Mytilus edulis: one gene and its partner. The protein of the gene in region 1 interacts with the protein of each later gene in a pairwise test. Links are inferred from orthologs where the notes say so. Each region holds a gene or a part of one and is shown on either strand. Other genes may lie near its edges.

What was found.
Region 2: the proteins of RCC1-like G exchanging factor-like protein (region 1) and nucleoside diphosphate kinase 6-like interact in binary tests that used the Homo sapiens proteins (3 or more experiments, as listed by UniProt). The link is inferred for Mytilus edulis from reciprocal best matches to the Homo sapiens genes RCC1L and NME6.

Annotation. Positions count from the first base shown.
Region 1 is NC_092355.1:44,608,143-44,618,193, reverse strand, and holds the start of RCC1-like G exchanging factor-like protein, read left to right. Parts: upstream 1-4,760; 5' UTR 4,761-4,902; intron 4,903-10,051. UniProt on the Homo sapiens protein: Guanine nucleotide exchange factor (GEF) for mitochondrial dynamin-related GTPase OPA1. Activates OPA1, by exchanging bound GDP for free GTP, and drives OPA1 and MFN1-dependent mitochondrial fusion. Plays an essential role in mitochondrial ribosome biogenesis.
Region 2 is NC_092346.1:42,631,650-42,641,700, forward strand, and holds nucleoside diphosphate kinase 6-like, read left to right. Parts: upstream 1-3,789; 5' UTR 3,790-3,861; intron 3,862-7,787; 5' UTR 7,788-7,866; coding exon 7,867-8,427; downstream 8,428-10,051. Other genes in the region: cytochrome c oxidase assembly protein COX20, mitochondrial-like, read right to left, coding at 3,482-3,511. UniProt on the Homo sapiens protein: Major role in the synthesis of nucleoside triphosphates other than ATP. The ATP gamma phosphate is transferred to the NDP beta phosphate via a ping-pong mechanism, using a phosphorylated active-site intermediate. Inhibitor of p53-induced apoptosis.

The DNA of each region.
Region 1 (10,051 bases):
TCGAACTTGCATGTAGGTTAACTTTGAGGTGGAAACGCAGATGCCTGTCTTTTAGTCTTATGCTAAAAGGCTAATTTCAAGCGATAACCTTGATGTTTTTTTTCTAGTTAAAGACGTATTAAAGAATATCAGATACTTTTTGGACAAGACCTTTCCTTGTGCTACTTGATGAAATGTATTGCAAAAAAAAATAATATGTGTTTCCATGCATTTTTTTTGTGTAAAACAACATTTGATACCGATCTATCTACGTGCATTGGAAAAAAGATGGCTCAGATATAAGAAAACATATAACTGAAAATGAATATGCACGTATATGAATTTGTACGTGATCTCACTCTACATGAAAAGAGTCAATTTCAGATCGAGGTGTGGCTAAAAGCGACGAAGACATTATTCAATTGCTGTCTTTTAAGTGTCTGTGAGAATTCTCATCAGGACGGTGTGATAATAAATTAATTATGATTATATATATATCGTTTGAAATCAATTGGTTACCCAGATGCGTACTCAGCAGGATATCGAAAAGAGGGCCCGCTGGTTCCTCAACTTGACAAAATGTGAAGTGGAACAGTACAAAGTCTAGCTTAACTATAAATGAAGCTCTATAAAGGGGACGGGCATCTAAATCCACATCTGGATCCATATTGTATTTAGAACTGGGACATCAAGTCATGCTTTTATTTTAACTGCATGTTTATTCATGACTGTATTTTACACAAAACGCTTTAAAAAGAATTCTTTATAAAATAGAATTGCTTGAATGAAAATATTTCAAAAATAATAACAAATATTTCTAATCACAAGGTAGTCCAGAAAAGAACATATGTATTTCCTCATTTTGAAGTGTCTTGTCATGTTTAGATAATACATTGATGATAACAAGACTTAAAAAAGTATACTTTGTACTTATGTTTAAAATTAAAGTATACTGTTTTGTATTAACACGTTGATAGTAAAAACAATTCTTTCCTGCTTCGGTCCATTTACTTTTTGGGGATACGGTCCATATACTGTCATAAGACTTTCAGTGTTTTGAATCATTTGTGTCTTATTTTACTTTTAAGTTTGTGTTTGTTTTTATCATACTGTTACTGTAAGACATAATAGTGTCCTATGAAAAAGTGTCCACATGGACACTTTTTCATTGAAATTTTGTATTTAATAATGTCCATTGCCATGGAATGGTGTCCCTCAAAAGGACAGATTTTTACTGATAACAATATGAAATAGTGTCCACTCAAAGGACAAATTTTCATAGTAGTTGCTATTAAATTGTGTCCTCCAAGGGAAGTAATACAAAGGACATTACAAAGTTTTATTATACTTGAATTTTAATTAGAATATGAAGGATTTATGAGAAATTGATCAATATACAAATGTAAACAAATAAATAATGGATGGAAGTGAATATAGAGAAATTTAAGTTCTAAGAAATTCCCAGCAAATGGTTATGACAATGAAAGAATAACAATAAGAAGGAAGTGTACATCAAATATGAAGAACTTTATTATATTTATTATGTCAATTTATGTCAAAGAAGAAGGCAATAGAAAATAAATAATGTCTATTGCCATGAAATATTGTCTCCTAAGTGGACAGCATTTTACAGCAACAGTTATGAAATATGGTCCATCTGCAGAACAAATTTTCGTAGTGAATGTTATTAAATTGTGTCCTCAAAGGAAAATAAAATGGAACAGGATCTAACATATATAAGTATATTATAAAATATAGATATGTAGATAAGGATGGTATGAGTGCAAAACGAGACAATTTTTATGTCCAAGTAACAATTAATTCAAGTTCGTAATTAAAGTTAAAATGCGTCCAGTAATAACAAGGCAATGGATATCCTTTAATACTTTAATAATATTAACAAATGCCCTTACGGACACAATGTCCTGTGAAAAAAATGTCCACCTGGACAATATTATGGTAGTGAATAATGTGCATGTTCATGGACACTTTTTCATACCTGAGGACATGTTTTCATAGGAAATTGTGTCCAGGACACATTTAAATAAGTAAATATTGTCAAAATGTGTCCGGTGGACATTTTTTCATGGAGGACATTATTAAATCCTACATTACCACTCGGTTGTATGCCTTTTTGAAACGAATTCAATAACAAAGGGGGGTAATAAGCCTGACTTAAGTCAGGAGCCTTGTCATTTGTTATATACTATTTTGAATTATTTTGGAGAATTAATTAAGGTAATGATGGCATTTCTTTGATGTTCTCTGACAATATTGCTCTTAAGTTAATGCTCACTTTGTAATTTGGTTATTCTCTGTTGTTGAGTTGCCATTTCATTAACTTATACACAGTGCTTGTGTGAATTCAACCTATCCTTTTATGCATATTAGTTTTTTTTTTCAATTTAATTGAGACCCGTATTCATCAGACCATTGATCAAACGAGATTTTTACATTATAGATATAATAAGATGTGATATGAGTGCCAATGAAACAACTCTCCATCCAAGTCACAATTATGAAAGTAAACCATTATAATAGGTCAAGGTACGGTATTCAACACGGTGCCTAGGCTCACACCGAACAGCAAGCTATAAAGGCATTATGTATGTCTAAATTCTCCGCGGCTAGAAAACCGATAAACTATTATTATTTAAACTTAATATTTTAAGTTTATATGGCAATACAAATTTGATTTGATTTGAATTATATTCATGAGTTTAAGAATAATGTTTAAAATAGAAATACAATAAAAAGAGTAAAGCGGTACTGTTAAAAGTAAGAATGTATATAATAACTTTGATATACAACTCGTCTAAACATCAACCCAACAATGTTAGATCTGTAAATTTGCTTTCGCAAACTTTTGGTTCTTCCCTCGCCGGGATTCGAACCCATGCTACTGTGATATCGTGACACCAAATCGCCTGCACTGCAGCCGTCCCGCTAGTCCTTAATTGTTATAAATGTGAACATAATAATAAGAACCTTTTGACAATAAATACAAATGCTTCCACTAGAACATACATCTTCGAAAAAGAACCAGCAAATTGCATAAACAGCTCTAAGAACGATCTCAAATTATATCAAACACCCAAATACACATCCATGGTGTTAGTACTGGCTTTAATTGACTATTCAGGCAAAACCTATATCAAACAGAAGTCAACACTGGACTTTTCGACAATATGCAAAAGGTGTTTATGATTAGTCGTTATTAAGATGGTGACTCCAGCAATGACATATATAAGGGTCGGTCGTCGTATGGACATGCTGCTACTCATTCCGGCTCCCTTTTATCTTTTTCTCGCGTGTTTCTAGGAATATTATTTCTTTCCGCATTTTACCTCAAGTTTTGTATTATTCTGTTTATGGTGTTTGTTAAATAAAATTTGAACTTTATTTTTGGTAAAAATTAAAATCTTCCAAGTTTATGCCACCGTCCGTGAATTATATCTATAAATTGTTTATTCAGAATCAAGTTTGACATCACGTAAACGTGAATTATCTATCTATAAATATTATATACATTATGTCAATGATATGTACAACACCAGGTGAAATGATTACCTATCAAATTATCTTTTATGTTTCATTTTTTATCAGAGCAAGTTTTACAAACTGTTTATTTGTTTATCTCCTTACATGACCAACTATCATGTCAATTACCATTGACGTAGAGTCTAAGGACCGATCGATGTCTGAAGAGTTCATAATAACAATGCTCTAGTTATATACATATTGCATATTGCAATTAACGAGTCTGGAGATCAAATGTTGTGCGTTTTCTAGTAAGCAAGTTTTGTTTGCTTGTGAAAAAAACCCTGTAAACTTAAATTTAAGAAACAGACTTTGACGATGTATGTCATTATTTTTTAAAGGGTTTATTTCGTTTATAACATCCCCAAACATTTGAGAAAATGGGCATATGTATATGCATGTACAAATATTCTGTGAACCTGAAAATAAAATCTATCAAAACTGTAAAAAATAGATTCTGACAGAAACTAGATAAATGATTTTCGTTTTCGTTTTGTTTCATTTCATTTTGAACTAAACTTTTTTTTAAATTTAATTATTAGAATGTGCATCTTCGTCCAGTTAGTCTGAACTCAAAGACTAAGGTGTACATGAGAATTGCTGGATAGCTTGACACTATAAATTATAAATTATGAAGAAACAAAAAAGAAAACACTGCATTAACGAATATTGTTAAAGGTTTGAAGTCAGATTTATTAAAACTTAAAATGAGTTCTGTACTGGACGGAATTGTTTATCTCCACTGAACATTTCTCGCTGCTTTGGCATGAGACTTCGGCTGTTGTCTCAGTGCTCTTTGGTCGGATTGTTGTTTATATGAAATATACCCCATTTACATTCTCAATATATAATAAGTTTACTCTGAGACTATTTATCTATAGATCACGTAATAAGATCTAAGTCAATCTAACTAGAACTGCGGCTACAATAACTTTTTAATAAATATAAACAAGAAGATGTGGTATGATTGCCAATGAGACAACACTCCACAAGAGACCAAAATGTCACATAAATTAACAACTATAGGCCACTGTAAATCAATATATTATGTCCCAGCTGTTATCATATAATCAAGTTACGTAATGATTTGTGCTAATTTTTCATATATTATTATTCAAATTAATTTCATTTAAGGGGAGTAAGAACTGGTGAGAAACTGGTGAGAAATTATTCCAACGACAAGTGTACAAAGGGAAATAACTCATTTTTCCAAATCCGGATATCCTTAACAGTCAACGAACACAATTTAGAATGTGAAAATGGCTGCGCCCATGAAAACACAATATTTTTATTGGATTTTATCTCAAACTTAAAATAACACCATCTTTGACTAAGTGTCATCAAATGCCTGACTTAAAAATTAACTAGGAGAGGAAAGTTTAAGTAAATAATTTTATAATTCATCGTCAGTACATTTAAATCTGATAAGTTCAGCCTTTTTTCAACTGAATGTTATTTTTACCGTGTGTTCTTGTACTGTAGTTGTGCTGTTCTTAGTCCAAATAATTATGACATCTTGAAAGGCTATTATAATTTTTTTCTTTGACGCCTAAGCATTATGACGTCGAAGTAAGGCGTCAAAGAAAAAAAATATAATAGCCTTTCAAGACGTCATAATTATTTGGACTATGCTGTTCTATGAGTAACACAGCCTTCATGCTGAGTGGCAGCCCAGGCAGCCCAGGCTAGTAAAATTGCTCTCGGGCCTGTAAAAATCTAGTCCAAATAATTATGACGTCTGGCAAGGCTATTTTAATTTTTTTCTGGGACGCCTTCCTACAAGGCGTCCCAGAAAAATAATAAAATAGCCTTGCCAGACGTCATAATTATTTGGACTAGTAAAAATCATATCTTCAGGCAAACAGAATCTAACTAAAAATTTTCAAAAATTGAGCTCCGGGCCTGTAGTAGTGTAGATTTAAAAGTTTGTCGTGAAGACTGGTAACATACATTTTCATCCTGTAATAGTCTTAATGAGCTCGTCCTAAGTCAAGAGCCTTTTAATTAGTGGATGTCATTGTTTGCTGTCTGGCATATTCTTAGACTTAAGTATTTTATTTTGTGTTTTTGAGTTAAAATGTAGCTTAAATATAGAACTTAAAACTGACAACAGTTGTATGGGTTCACACATCTCTTTAATTCGTACATGCACAATATTGACATTATTCACACACAGTCCTTTCATTGTACAACGTTGTACATATTGTTTATAGGCATTGTCTGCGCGTACCCGCATGCGGGTACGAATAATCAAATTGCCATTTAGGCTGCGCGTACCTGCATACGATTTTCTACTAAAATGCCATAGGATTGGGAATGAAACGTGAAATATATACGGAAGTTATCGATAATATGGGAATTTCGTGTAGAAAGAGTGAAGAGTATGAAAAATAATATTTTCAAATTGTATTTATTAAATAATGATACATAATAAACAGTGCAAAATTAAATTCACAATGATGGAAAATGTAGTCCCTGTAAAAGAAAAACATGATAGAAATTAATACCTGAATACTATTCAGTTTAAAATTTAAATGAAAATTTAACAAATAAAATTTTAATAATTTAAACATTTTAAAGAAATGCCCATAGGATATTTTAAAATAATCTTTAAGTAAAATGTAAAACAGAAACTGAAATTTTAAAATATATAAAACTAAAATTAAAGCTTGAGTTTATACAAATTAAAGAAGCAAAAATATGATTGTTTTGGCCTGAGACTACTATAACACATAGTAGTCTCAGTTTTGGCACAGATTTCAACCCTGCACATTTCAAATGTTGCCAGTCTAAACAGCAATCTCAGGCCAAAGAGTCCTGATTGTGTAGTTTTTTTTCTCACTTTATACATATCCAGTCGTATGTTTTCCTTCTTACGGTGATCTTAATTTTTAGTTGTTTATTCTGTTGTACTTTATATCTTCTTTAATTTTTGTGCTGCCTGTCAATTCTATGAAATTTAATGCCTGATAAATGTAGTTCTGTACAAATTTTTCTAGTTCATGATAAGTCTGAAATGTCTTCCCCACAGTTATAATATCACTCTCTTCCATTTTAAGAATATTTTCTAACTGAGAAAAAACTATTCACTTACTTATATACAAAATGTATATTATATATATATACAGTCCGCCAAAAGTTAAGCACCACCTACTTTTATTGCATCGATTTTTTTTCAAATTTAAAAAATCAATTGTTCCTCGAAAAATAGAAAACAATCATATAGCAATTTTGCTAATGTATACCATAAACAAACCACAAATATAATTTTGGTCACTTATGAAGGTTCTATGCATATAGGTTTTTCGTTCATAGAAATAGTGTAAATTACACAATTAAGAAATGGAATTTAAGTTTCACTGTGATTTTATTTTTTTACAACAATTAATCACCCAATACCATTAAAATTTTCTACACATAATCTTTGGTATGTTTGGCAAATTTAATGTCAATATTTGAGTCAATAGCATGTGTAACAACCTCATTTCCGGTACAGTTTCATAACACGACCTATCTTTCTCGGTACAAGCCTTCAAAACTTTAGTTGAGGAAATCTGTTGCATTAAACAACAAATGCCACTTTTAAATCGACAAACTTTTGTGAAGGTGAATCTCTGCGATTGAGATTTCCGACAATGGCATCTCAGACATGTTTGATAGGGTTCATGCATGGAGTCAAGGAAGGCCAAAAATTAGTGTAAATGACTGGTTGCTCTTTGGACTCGGTTAAAATTCTTGCCCTGCGTGGTATAGCGTTGTCATTCAGGTACAAGTGTCTTGACAATGTTGACGCAAGTGGGGGATTACTAAAATGACGGACTACAATATGTTAAGGCACCAAATCTCTGTATGTCTGTCCGTTTATGTTACCCTGCAGAATATGCATACCCAGCTTATAACGGTATAAGAAGCAACCCCGTACTGGAACACAACCAGCAATGCATGCAGTCCTTGTGCAAATATTGTTTTTGGTCATAGGCCGTTTTTTTCTCCTGCGAAATTCGTATTATGGCGTCTTCTGGCAGTAAAGGAAACTGACTCCCATCTGACCAATGAGTGTTTTGTCAGGTTCTTATGTTCAAGCATAGATGTTCATTATCCCATTTAAACCTGACGGTAGAGTGCCTGCTTGAAGGTACAGGTCTCTATACACCACGACGTGCTCTTCGTTTGCCTCTATAAAGTCGACGGACCAATGTACGAACACTTACACGACCACCTGGAGAAACAGTGTATAAATTTATAAACGCACATATGACCTTTGATAAAAGGTTGGTTGACTGCTTTATCGGAGTGCAATCTTTTTGGTTGTAATGAATTTTTTTAGTGTATGTTAAAGGTAATTCATAACACCAAACATTAATATTTTTTTTGCAATAGTTAAAAAAATATTGCCAGTTATATTTCGGTGGTGCTTAACTTTTGGCGGACTGTATATACAAAATGTATATATATATATGTACATGTATATTTATAAAATTTCTGAGTAATTTTAATCAATTTATTCACTAATTGCAACAAATTCCGCATATATTTCATGTTTCATTCCCGATCCGACAGCATTTAATTATAAAACCAGATGTGGGTACGCGCAACCTAGAATGGCAATTTGACTATTCGTACCCGCATAATTAAAGATAAACTGTTGTAAGTGTTTAAAGAATAAAAATAAGCCTTATCATGATTGGGTACTAATATGAGGCAGGCATTATCTGTGAAAGGGGACGAAGTCTGTATTAATTATTTTTAGCTCATCTGGCCCGAAGGGCCAAGTGAGCTTTTCTCATCACTTGGCATCCGTCGTCTGACGTCGTCGTCATTAACTTTTTACATTTTGAACTTCTTCTAGAGAACCACTGAATGGAATGAAACCAAACATGGCATGAATGTTCCTTATGAGGTGCTGACCAAGTGTTGTTACTTTGTAGCCTATCCATCATCCAAGATGGCCGCCAGCGGGGGACTTAGTTTAACATCATGAACATAGGACCCTATGGGAAATGCATACAAATGACTTCTTTTAGAGAACCACTGAATGGAATGAATCCAAACATAGCATGAATGTTCCTTATGAGGTGGTGACTAAGTGTTGTTACTTTGCAGCCTATCCATCATCTAAGATGGCCGCCAGCAGGGGACTTAGTTTAACATAGGACCCTATTGGAAATGCATACAAATGACTTCTTTTAGAGAACCACTAAATGACTTGAATCCAAACATAGCATGAATGTTCCTTATGAGGTGCTGACCAAGTCTTGTTACTTTGTTGGCGATCCATCATCCAAGATGGCCGACAGTGGGGGGACTTGGTTTAACATAGGACCCTATGGGAAATGCATACAAATGACTTCTATTAGAGAACCACTGAATGGAATGAAACCAAACATAGCATGAATGCTCCTTATGAGGTGCTGCCCAAGTGTTGTCACTTTGTCGCCAATCCAACGTCCAAGATGGCTGACAGTGGGGGGACTTAGTTTAACATACGATCCTATGGGAAATAAATACAAATTTTTTCTTTTAGAGAACCAATGAATGGAATGAAACTAAACATAGCATGAATGTTCCTGATGAGATGCTGACCAAGTGTTGTTACTTTGTTGCTGATCCATCATCCAAGATGGCCGCCAGCGGGGACCTATATATGGGAAATGCATACAAAAGTCTTCTTCTAGAGAACCACTTATTTGAATACAACCTAACATAGCATGAATGTTCCTTTCCTAATGAGGTGCTGACCAAGTGCTGTTTATTTTGTAGCCAAATTTTATCTTTTTTTATATGAATTCAAAAACCCAAGTAGAGTCAGGTGAGCGATACCTGGATACAGGCTCTTGAGAGCCTCTAGTTTTTGTAACTTCAAAATCTGTTAAAAAAAGAAACAGAAATACTGTAATGTTTCCAATTTTGGTTCTGTTGTTAGGGATTTTACTTGTGACGTTATTTAAGTTATGACGTCATGTTCAATGTAAACAAAGAAACGCGATCATCAAGTAACGTTGATTCATATCAAAGGCAAAGAATTATTAAAAATGAAATTGGTATGGTGTTCCTTGAGTTCCTATATTTTACTAGACTAATCAAAGTCTCATGACAACAACACTGGAAGAAGGAAGTAGATTTCTGTGTTCTGCGCAAATGCGGGATTAAAAAAAAAGTGGCAACATGATTTTGAGTTCATTAGTACAATGTACAATGAAAATATAGGAATTTTCTCGTTTTTGTTTGTTTTTTTTATTGATTTTTCCACTGTAATAGGGGACCAAAAAAATGTCCCCTTACTAAAGAGCGCCCGGTTGAAGAAAAAGCCCCCAGGGAGAAGAAAAAATGCCAGGAGAAGATAAAAAGGGCCCTGGGAAAATATATAGATAATGTATTGGCATGACACAACTTTGTGTGGATGAAATAAGTTATGCACATTGATTTTGTTTTTAATTTTAGACAAGTATTTTGCAAATTCAGATTATCATGATTATAGACATTTGTTATAAAGCACAAAAACAAGTATGAATCTTTCAAATTTAACAATAAT
Region 2 (10,051 bases), on another chromosome or scaffold:
AAGTTCAAAAACATCCCTTATCACTTTCACAATTTCATCATCATGGCAAGGTCAAGAAAACAGTCCGCAGGTGAGATTCTTTTATAATATCCCTAATGAAAGATAGAAATACTGTTTCAAGCGAAAGGTTAATGTATAAATTTGTATCTCTATGGTGTCTTTATTTATTTCTCACATGCAACCTAAAAATTTAACTGAATTATATACCGTATCACATGCATAGCATCCCAAGAATATAAACATAACTTCGTAAATGCATCTCATTCTGATTTTAGTTGTTTGTGGTGAACACAGTAAAGTCTGGCATCACCTCCGAAAATCAAAAAAGTAAAAAACAGATATTATGAAAGGACATCAAAAATTGCTGGTAAAAGTAGAAATTTTCGTTTGCAAAATATAATACTAGTATTGGTCAGGTGAGCAATTGTGATCTGTCTCGTCTCACTTTGCATCCATCGGTCTGCCCGTCTATCTGTCAACTCTTAACATTTCCATCGTTTTAACCAAGTTTGCAGAGCTGGTGTTGTGGAGTGTTAACGTAATTTTTAAGTAAGGCAGTTAAATTTCACTTTATTGAAACCATGTACAATTGGCTTAGACACATTGACGATGTGCAAAACAATTATTTATTTGTGGTGTTCCTGTATTTCTTTATGTCACAACTACCAGCACCATGTCTTTCAAGGTTTGGTTAAGATATTACCTGATATTCCTATATAGATAATTTTACAAGTGCTGGTGTCTTGTTTGTAGATTGGTTCCCACAGGAACACAGAATCAAAATAAAATGTTTGCATGACCTTCAGCTTCTGTTAGTGGGGCTGCAGCTTTATAACTGTAATAAACTCACTCATATATGCAATATGAATCCCTTAGTGCGAAAGTTAGGAGATTGTTGTAGATTTGTAGGAGACCTTGTCATCATAACTCGGTGGTTCTCCGCGGAACAGGGACATATTGTTTTACCTCTGTCCATCTATCCGTCAGTCAGTCACTTGATATTTGGTCAGGAGGATGCACTAGGAAGCATACAAATCTATTACATGTACTTGTACGTCATTATTGCATTTTCCCCCTGAAGATATTCAATTGACTAATATGAATGCAACACCAGTTTTCCAAGCAACCATTGCCATTTATAACATTCAATAGATTTTTTTATGTGGAGGGTGTGCTTGTGTACTCCGGGTTGAGGTCTGTCTCTACCCTTATTGTCTTCAGTCCCGTTTTCTGGCAAATATATGGGGGTAGTTTCAATGAATAGAAGCTCACATATTTCTTGTTAATTACAGTGAGTGTAGATTGTTGTCAGGTGTGGATTAAGGCGGTTTCAGCTTGAAATTTCTCGTTCATTTTACAACAAATAGTTCGAGATAGCTACATTTCACCCCTTTAGAAGAATATTTCAATATAATTTTACCTCAAAAAAATTTTTTCGTCTCGAACCGCTCAGCGAAATTAAACTTTGTGCCCCCCCTCCCCGCCCTTAACTGGAAATCCTGAATCCACCCCTGAGCTTGCATCATGTTTATAATCATAATTCAAAAACTGACCAAAGATTTGTATAGTAAAAATTAATAATGGATTGGAATCGTGTGGACTAAAAACAAACATTATGATTTGATCGATCAGACCTCAGTAATAATACACCTTAATTTATTGGTATTTGTCCGCCATTACTGGATATCACACAGGTTCCTGTAAAATTTTGATGTCATAAAACAAAATATCTGACGCCACAATCGAAAAGTGATTGCTATATGCGTGAAATGTTCAAGCGGCCGGGTCAGCCGGGATTAGCGATAAGATGTATTAGTTTTCTTTTGATTAGCGATAAGATGTACATGATGTATTAGTTTCTTAAACAGGTTGGGAACAAACCCCCTGGATGGTGATTATACCTGTATAGAGGGATAATCCTTCTTTAGAGGGATAAAATTATCCCTCTATACATGCTATAGAGGGGTATTTTCGTTTGCACTGGATTTAAAGCAAATTAGGGCAGAATGGCATTTTCTAGTTATATTGGCTATAATCTCTAGCATTATATGCATCAACATATGCACTTTACTAAAAATTGGGATAACCAGTTTTCTGCTAAAGTGACAAAACTTGCAATCTATTGTATACCTATCTGAACACCTGATCAACAACAAAAGGAATAGTCAGTCAGGGGTACTACTTGTACAAGTGTATTTAATTTACTTGAAGAAGTAAAAAAAAATATACACATATACATGTAAGTAAATTTTTAGGATACTTATACAAGTGAATTTTATTTACTTGTATAGGTAAAAAAAAAAATGGCTTAGTTATGTCCCTTAGTCATTCAGAATTTTTTACTTGTATAAGTAAAAAATTCATCCTTTCTTCTTTTCTTGAATTCTTAAGATTTCTTAGCTCTAATAGAATTTTAAATTGTGTACCCTTTGCAGATGTCTTTACTAATCATTTAAGTGTAATTTCATGGACAATGAAAGTCCCATTTGTCTGTTATCTTCTTAACACTGCTCATTTACAAGCCCCAAAGGAGCAATTTTTGAATGCCTTGCGCAAATATACAAGATCTTTGCTCAATCAGTTTCTTTGATGAATTAATGAGATGAAACATTGAACTTTAATGAAAAAATTTGAGCAAACCTGGGAAAAATCATTAAAGGCATGATTTTACATCTCAAAACTTGAGGATTTGTGTGGGATTGTAAGAAAAATTTACTTATACAAGTAAATTTTTCAGAAAATTAAGGGGAGATTATTCAAACATTATCTATTTACTTATATGTGTATATTTATTTTCACTTCTTCAAGTAAATAAAATACACTTGTACAAGTAGTACCCCTGACTGATAGTTGACCTTTAAATTTCATGTTAAATCTAACAATAGAAATTCTGTTCAGTGAGGCATAAGTGAGTAGAATTTACCTGATCATCACAACTTTCAATCATGGTGAACAATAGATTTTATATTTAGTCAGATAAGCATCAAACTGGGCATGTGCATATTAAATTAAGTACATCAATTGGTGCATCAACTGTTCCAGGTTACTGCCATAATAAGTAGAGAATGCCATTCTGCCCTATTTTGATTTAAATCCAGTCTAAACAAAAATACCCCTCTATAGACGGATAAATTTACCCCTCTATAGAAGGATTATCCCTCTATACAGGTATAATCACCATATAGAGGGTTTGTTCCCAACCTGTTAAAAGAAGCTATGTTGACACAGAGACATATAATACAATTTGTATGATATGCCTCTGGTTGACATAAGCCAAAATTTATATCGCTCCCTTGTCGGCCCAGGGGCCCATAAAAAAATGGCATGTCTATAAAATTTGGAGATAAACGAATCTGGGTGCGAACGGAAATTTGGGACGAAATGACCCAACTCTGTCCCCAAACGTCAGGTGAATGTAGGTTGGAAAATTGTATCTTCCGCGGAAGCTTTATGAGAAACCATAACTAAGTAGTTGGCTCACTTGTTTTTCTTGGTTTTCCTCTTCTTCCATTTTGTAATGATAACCTTGAGTATTTTACGTAAATTGTACGTTACATAAGTACAGAATTTGTTGTTTTTGTCGTGGTACGTTAGGTGCTTGAAACTAATTGTAGAACTGTTTCGGAAAGACACCGTTGGTCAAAACGGAAAATATTTAATAAAGATATGTTTATATTTCAAAATTTTCCTTTTGATAAAAGTGACCTTATGAAATTTAAAACGACATTAGTATGAAACAGATTGAACATTTGTCTTAAACTTCACGTTATTGGAAAACTAATTAAATGTTTGGTTTAAAATGAACACTTCATCTAAGAATACATTAAAACGTTTTGAAGATTGTCATGGAAAATTGAAAAGGTACTTTAATTTTAATCCAGAAGCAGAGGGTATGGTATCATGTCGCTCATAAAGTTGTCGCTTTATTCAATACCATATATTGGTGGTGTATATTTACTGTATAAATGGATAACTCCGAGTGACACTGATATGAAACAGGTACTCAATTACATGAAATAATGCAGAAATAAAAATAAACAGATAAAGGTCATTTAAATGATTTGCAATTGCAAGTCAATAATTGAATGTACAATGAATTATATAAGCGGAAGTATGCTAAATTCCTAAACCTTATTGCTGTTTTAAAATTTGTGTCACTTTTAAAATTGGTTGTCATCATCATGGTAATTCAACACTAGTTTTTTCTAGTAGCTCCAGACAGGGTAACACGAATTACCGAATAACAGTGTTATTATCCGAATAACTCATGTAATTACCGAATAACTCTTCAAATATCAATATTAACACATTTAAGTGACTTTTAAACATATAATATGAGGCAGGCATTACCTGTAAATGGGGACGAAGTCTGTATGAATTATTTTTTTGTAACTTACATTTTTATATTTGTTAAGAAAAAGAAACGGAAATACGTAACGTTTCCGATTTTGGTTCTGTTGTTAGGGATTTTAGTTATGACGTTATTTAAGTTATGACGTCATATGCAATGTAAACAAAGAAACGCTATCATCAGGTAACGTTTTTTCATATCAAGGAATTATTAAAAATGAAATTGGTATTGCGCGTTCCTTCCTATTTTATACTAGACTGATAAATATATATTTTACTCAAAGTTTCATACAAACGAGACCGGAAAAAGGAAGTACATTGTACATTTCTGCGCAGGTCCGGGATTTCAAAACATGACATAAAAAAAATTGAACGATTTTGAGTTCATTAGTACAATGAAAAATTCGGGAAATTTTCCCGATTTTTTTTTTCATTGAATTTTCTACTGTTATTGGGGACTTCGTCCCCATATTATTGAATAAAATTATAATAGAAGTGTATTTTATAACCTAAAAATAAAAAAAAAGTTGCAGGTAAGTTAATATTGATCATTATAAAATTATGGATATCGGTGTGTACTTCCAAGATGGCGACCAAGGAAAACGTAAGAAATGAAGAAAAGAAAGATTGCATACAATCCCTCAACGTGTTCATCTTAGACCACCAAAGTGGAGCCCTCACGCCACGTCACGGCAATGAACAATGTGAGGGTGGGCATTTTTTAAAATAAAATATGGAATAGTAAACTATTTAAATTAGTTTTTGTTTTAATTTTAGTTATTAAAAAAATATTATCTTTATCATATTTTTATATTTGTGATTTAGAAATGGATGTTAACTAAGCCCCTTTAAATCTATAAAATTACAACTATTAAGATATCCTGCACAAGGCACGGGCTTATCTGTCATAGTCCGTGGAAATACTTTATTTAGAATTTATTGTAAAAAATTTATAACTACTAAGATATCCTGCACAAGGCACGGGCTTATCTGTCATAGTCCGCGGAAATACTTTAAAAATTTCTTATATAATAGAAAAGATTTTTTTATGTTCATTTTAAATATATAACATGTTGTATAATCATTCTTATTTATAAGATATCTATATATATAAAATTCTGATTTGTAGAAAGTAACGCAATACAGTTGTGATTCTTTTTTTGGTGTTTCTTCTAAATAGAAAATATGTGGTATAATTTGTGCTTTCTTAACTTGATATATTTCTGATTTATAGAAGGTAACACAATATAAGGAAATGGCTTATTTCATATTTTTAATCACATACTAAAAAACTTTTCAATACAAGAACAGTAAAAATACCCAAGCATTAACAATATCACGAAGTGGCAACACCTAGCCGTAAGGCAGCAAGAAGAAGTCCAAACGCGTTTTTTCCTTTTCCTTTTCTTCCTGTTCCCCAAAATTCGTCAGGAACATTATGATTAATATAGCCACTTGTTGATGTTAGTCGGTCTCTGAAAGCTTTACATTGGAGGAATTTCAGTTTCAATATTTCTGCCATTACAAGGGGCTTCTGGTCTTCCCATGATTTCCTTGTCTTCAATTTCTTTGACAACATTTTGGCTTTTTTTGAATCTGATAATTGTTTTATTTGGTGCAACAATTCATACTCTTGGTGGTGGTTACATTTCATACACTGATATAAGTGTTCTGCGGAGGGATATGTGTAGTCTTCGATTAAAATAATTTGATTAGATTTGAATTGAATATGTGAAAATTCTTAATTACATTTTATTTAATAGAATAAGAATAAAATTGTTTATTATAGTGTCACATATTGATTGAAACAAGACATTCACACAATATTCATATACATACATACTACAATCAATATCCAGCCAAAAAATGACTTATGAGACACTGATCCTTAAAACCAAAATATATACAAAAATATACTTTTTAAACTTGTAAGTAATCACATAAAAGTTTTATCTAAATGGAACAAGTAGCTTAAAATATAAATAATTCTTAGTTTAAAAAAAAAAAAAAAAAAAAAAAAAAAAGATAATGTTGAGTAAATTGTTATGAAAAGTAATTAGTGATTGGAGTAATTGCATTGCTTTGATGTACTGGTTAAATTTTCAAATCCTTTCTGAAAAACAATTATTAGACAATTCTCTGTATATACAGTAAATTATTTAATACTATATTTTCATAGCGTTTTCCTTTGAAGGCATATATGCAATCTTTCTTTTCTTCATTTCTTACGTTTTCCTTGGTCGCCATCTTGGAAGTACACACCGATATCCATAATTTTATAATGATCAATATTAACTTACCTGCAACTTTTTTTTTATTTTTAGGTTATAAAATACACTTCTATTATAATTTTATTCAATAATATATGTTTAAAAGTCACTTAAATGTGTTAATATTGATATTTGAAGAGTTATTCGGTAATTACATGAGTTATTCGGATAATAACACTGTTATTCGGTAATTCGAGGTACCGGCTCCAGACATTCTCAAAACGCGCCTCCATATATACCTGCCAACCTTTCAAAATGCCCATGGGGGTTTTACGTGCAAGATGGCTCTTACAGTCTTAAAAAAACTTTAAGGAGGCCTTCAAATGTATTTTTATGATAAAGGTCATTTGGACTTGCAAGTCAATAATCGAATGGACAATAAATTACATTAGCTGAAGTGTGCTTAATTCCTAGACCTAATTGCTGTTTTAAAATCTGTGTCACTTAATTGGTTGACGTCATTCAACACTAGCATATCGGGCACTGACCTCTAGCATATCTAGATCTGGTACTATACACTTTATTGCTATTTGGAATTTTGCCTTGCTCAACCCAAAATTTCCCTCGTGAAATTTTGAGTTCATTCAACACTCACTTTTCCATTGTGTCGTCAGATATTTTCTATTATGACATCAAAATTTTACAAGAACTTTTGTGATCACCGATGTCACGTAATGGTACCGATAGACAAATGCAATAATGTATTTTAATTAGGTGGTAATATAATATATATTATACCTACCTGCCTATAAAAATGTATTGTCATATGCATGTAACGTTTGTATAAAGTTATACGTTTTACACAGATCTCAAGGCAAGACATTAAATTTAAACTTGCTGTAAAACAATCACATTGTCATTCTTCATGTTCTTGACAAATTAAAATGTTTGTGAGCAAAACATATTTAAATAAAAACCATTGTCAATGTCTGACTGTCAATGACTGTTGCCTCCTACCTGATGATGACCATTAAAACACAATATGATCAAATATAAATTACATGTTTTAAGATACATGTATATAGACTATGGCTATGTAGTAAGTTTTTATACAGATTGATTAATCGTGTACATACAAATGTACAATGCATATAAAAGTATTTATTCACCAACTAATTGATTTTTTTACATTGGAACTCTTACAATTTTTTTTTATTTATATTTCAGAGATTTGCAAATAGTCCTGATCCATACTTGAGAGAAAAATACAAAAAACTACAGTGGGAAGAAAAAAAGAAAAAACAAGATGCCTAATTGTTTGTTAAAACCATTACAATTAACTTTAGCCATTTTCAAGCCAGACATTGTTTCTAGACCTCATATTGTTCAACAAATTAAACAGATGATTCGAGATGATGGATTTTTTTTTGTAAAATCGACAACATGTTATCTTCCACGTTCAAAAGCCGAGGAATTCTACAAGGAACATGATGGGAAGTTTTTTCATAATAGACTTGTTACTTTCATTTCAAGTGGTCATGTGAGTGCCCATATCTTAGCAAAACATGATGCAATTAAATGCTGGAGGAAGTTAATGGGACCAACTAAAGTCCTGAAAACTGTTCATGAAGACCCACATTCGATACGTGGGAAATTTGGATTAACGGACACCAGGAATGCTACTCATGGTTCAGATTCGGAGGAGAGTGCTAAAAGAGAGATTAATTTCTTCTTTCCTGATTTTGATATTGAAGAATGGCATAGAACAGAAGAACAATATTTTAGAGAAGGAAAAGTTAAATTTTGTGAAGATAAAGAAATACATGTTATAATTGCTGAAAATGAACATAAACTGAGTCATGAATAGTAATTATACGACCGCAAATTTTGAAAAAATTTTCGTCGTATATTGCTATCACGTTGGCGTCTGCGTCGTCGTCGTCGTCGTCCGGCGTCCGAATACTTTTAGTTTTCGCACTCTAACTTTAGTAAAAGTGAATGGAAATCTATGAAATTTTAACACAAGGTTTATGACCACAAAAGGAAGGTTGGTATTGATTTTGGGATTTTTGGTCCCAACATTTTAGGAATTAGGGGCCAAAAAGGGCCCAAATAAGCATTTTCTTGGTTTTCGCACTATAACTTTAGTTTAAGTTAATAGAAATCTATGAAATTTTGACACAAGGTTTATGACCACAAAAGAACGGTTGGGATTGATTTTGGGAGTTTTGGTCTCAACAGTTTAGGAATTAGGGGCCAAAAAAGGGCCCAAATAAGCATTATTCTTGGTTTTCGCACAATAACATTAGTTTAAGTAAATAGAAATCAATGAAATTTAAACACAATGTTAATGACTACAAAAGGAAGGTTGGTATTGATTTTGGGAGTTTAGGTCCCAACAGTTTAGGAATTAGGGGCCAAAAAGGGACCCAAATAAGCATTTTTCTTGGTTTTCGCACCATAACGTTAGTATAAGTAAATAGAAATCTATGAAATTTAAACACAAGGTTTATGACCATAAAAGAAAGGTTGGGTTTGATTTTGGGAGTTTTGGTCCCAACATAATAAGGGGCCCAAAGGGTCCAAAATTAAACTTTTGTTTGATTTCATCAAAATTGAATAATTGGGGTTCTTTGATATGCTGAATCTAACTGTCATGACTGTGTATGTAGATTCTTAACTTTTGGTCCCGTTTTCAAATTGGTCTACATTAAGGTCCAAAGGGTCCAAAATTAAACTTAGTTTGATTTTGACAAAAAATGAATCAGTTAGGTTCTTTGATATGCTGAATCTAAAAATGTACTTAGATTCTTGATTATTGGCCCAGTTTTCAAGTTGGTCCAAATCGGGGTCCAAAATTAAACTTTGTTTGATTTCATCAAAAATTGAATAAATGGGGTTCTTTGATATTCCAAATCTAACTGTGTATGTAGATTCTTCATTTTTGGTCCTGTTTTCAAATTGGTCTACACTAAAGTCCAAAGGGTCCAAAATTAAACTTAGTCTGATTTTAACAAAAATTGAAATCTTGAAGTTCTTTGATATGCTGAATCCAAAAATGTACTTAGATTTTTTATTATGGGCCCAGTTTTCAAGTTGGTCCAAATCAGGATCTAAAATTATTATATTAAGTATTGTGTAATAGCAAGTCTTTTCAATTGCACAGTATTGCGCAATGGCAAGAAATATCTAATTGCACAATATTGTGAAATATCAAATTTTTTTTTAATTAGAGTTATCTTTCTTTGTCCAGAATAGTAAGCAAGAAATATCTAATTGCAAAATATTGTGCAATAGCAAGATTTTTTTTTAATTGGAGTTATCTTTCTTTGTCCAGAATCAACTTAAATCTTTGTTATATACAATATACAATGTATATTCACTTTTTACTACCAACTGATTAATTAAAATAATCTTTACCATTCAGTGATAACAAGCAGTTTTTTTACATCTTAATATTTTATGATGTATTTAAATGAGTAGTTATTGTT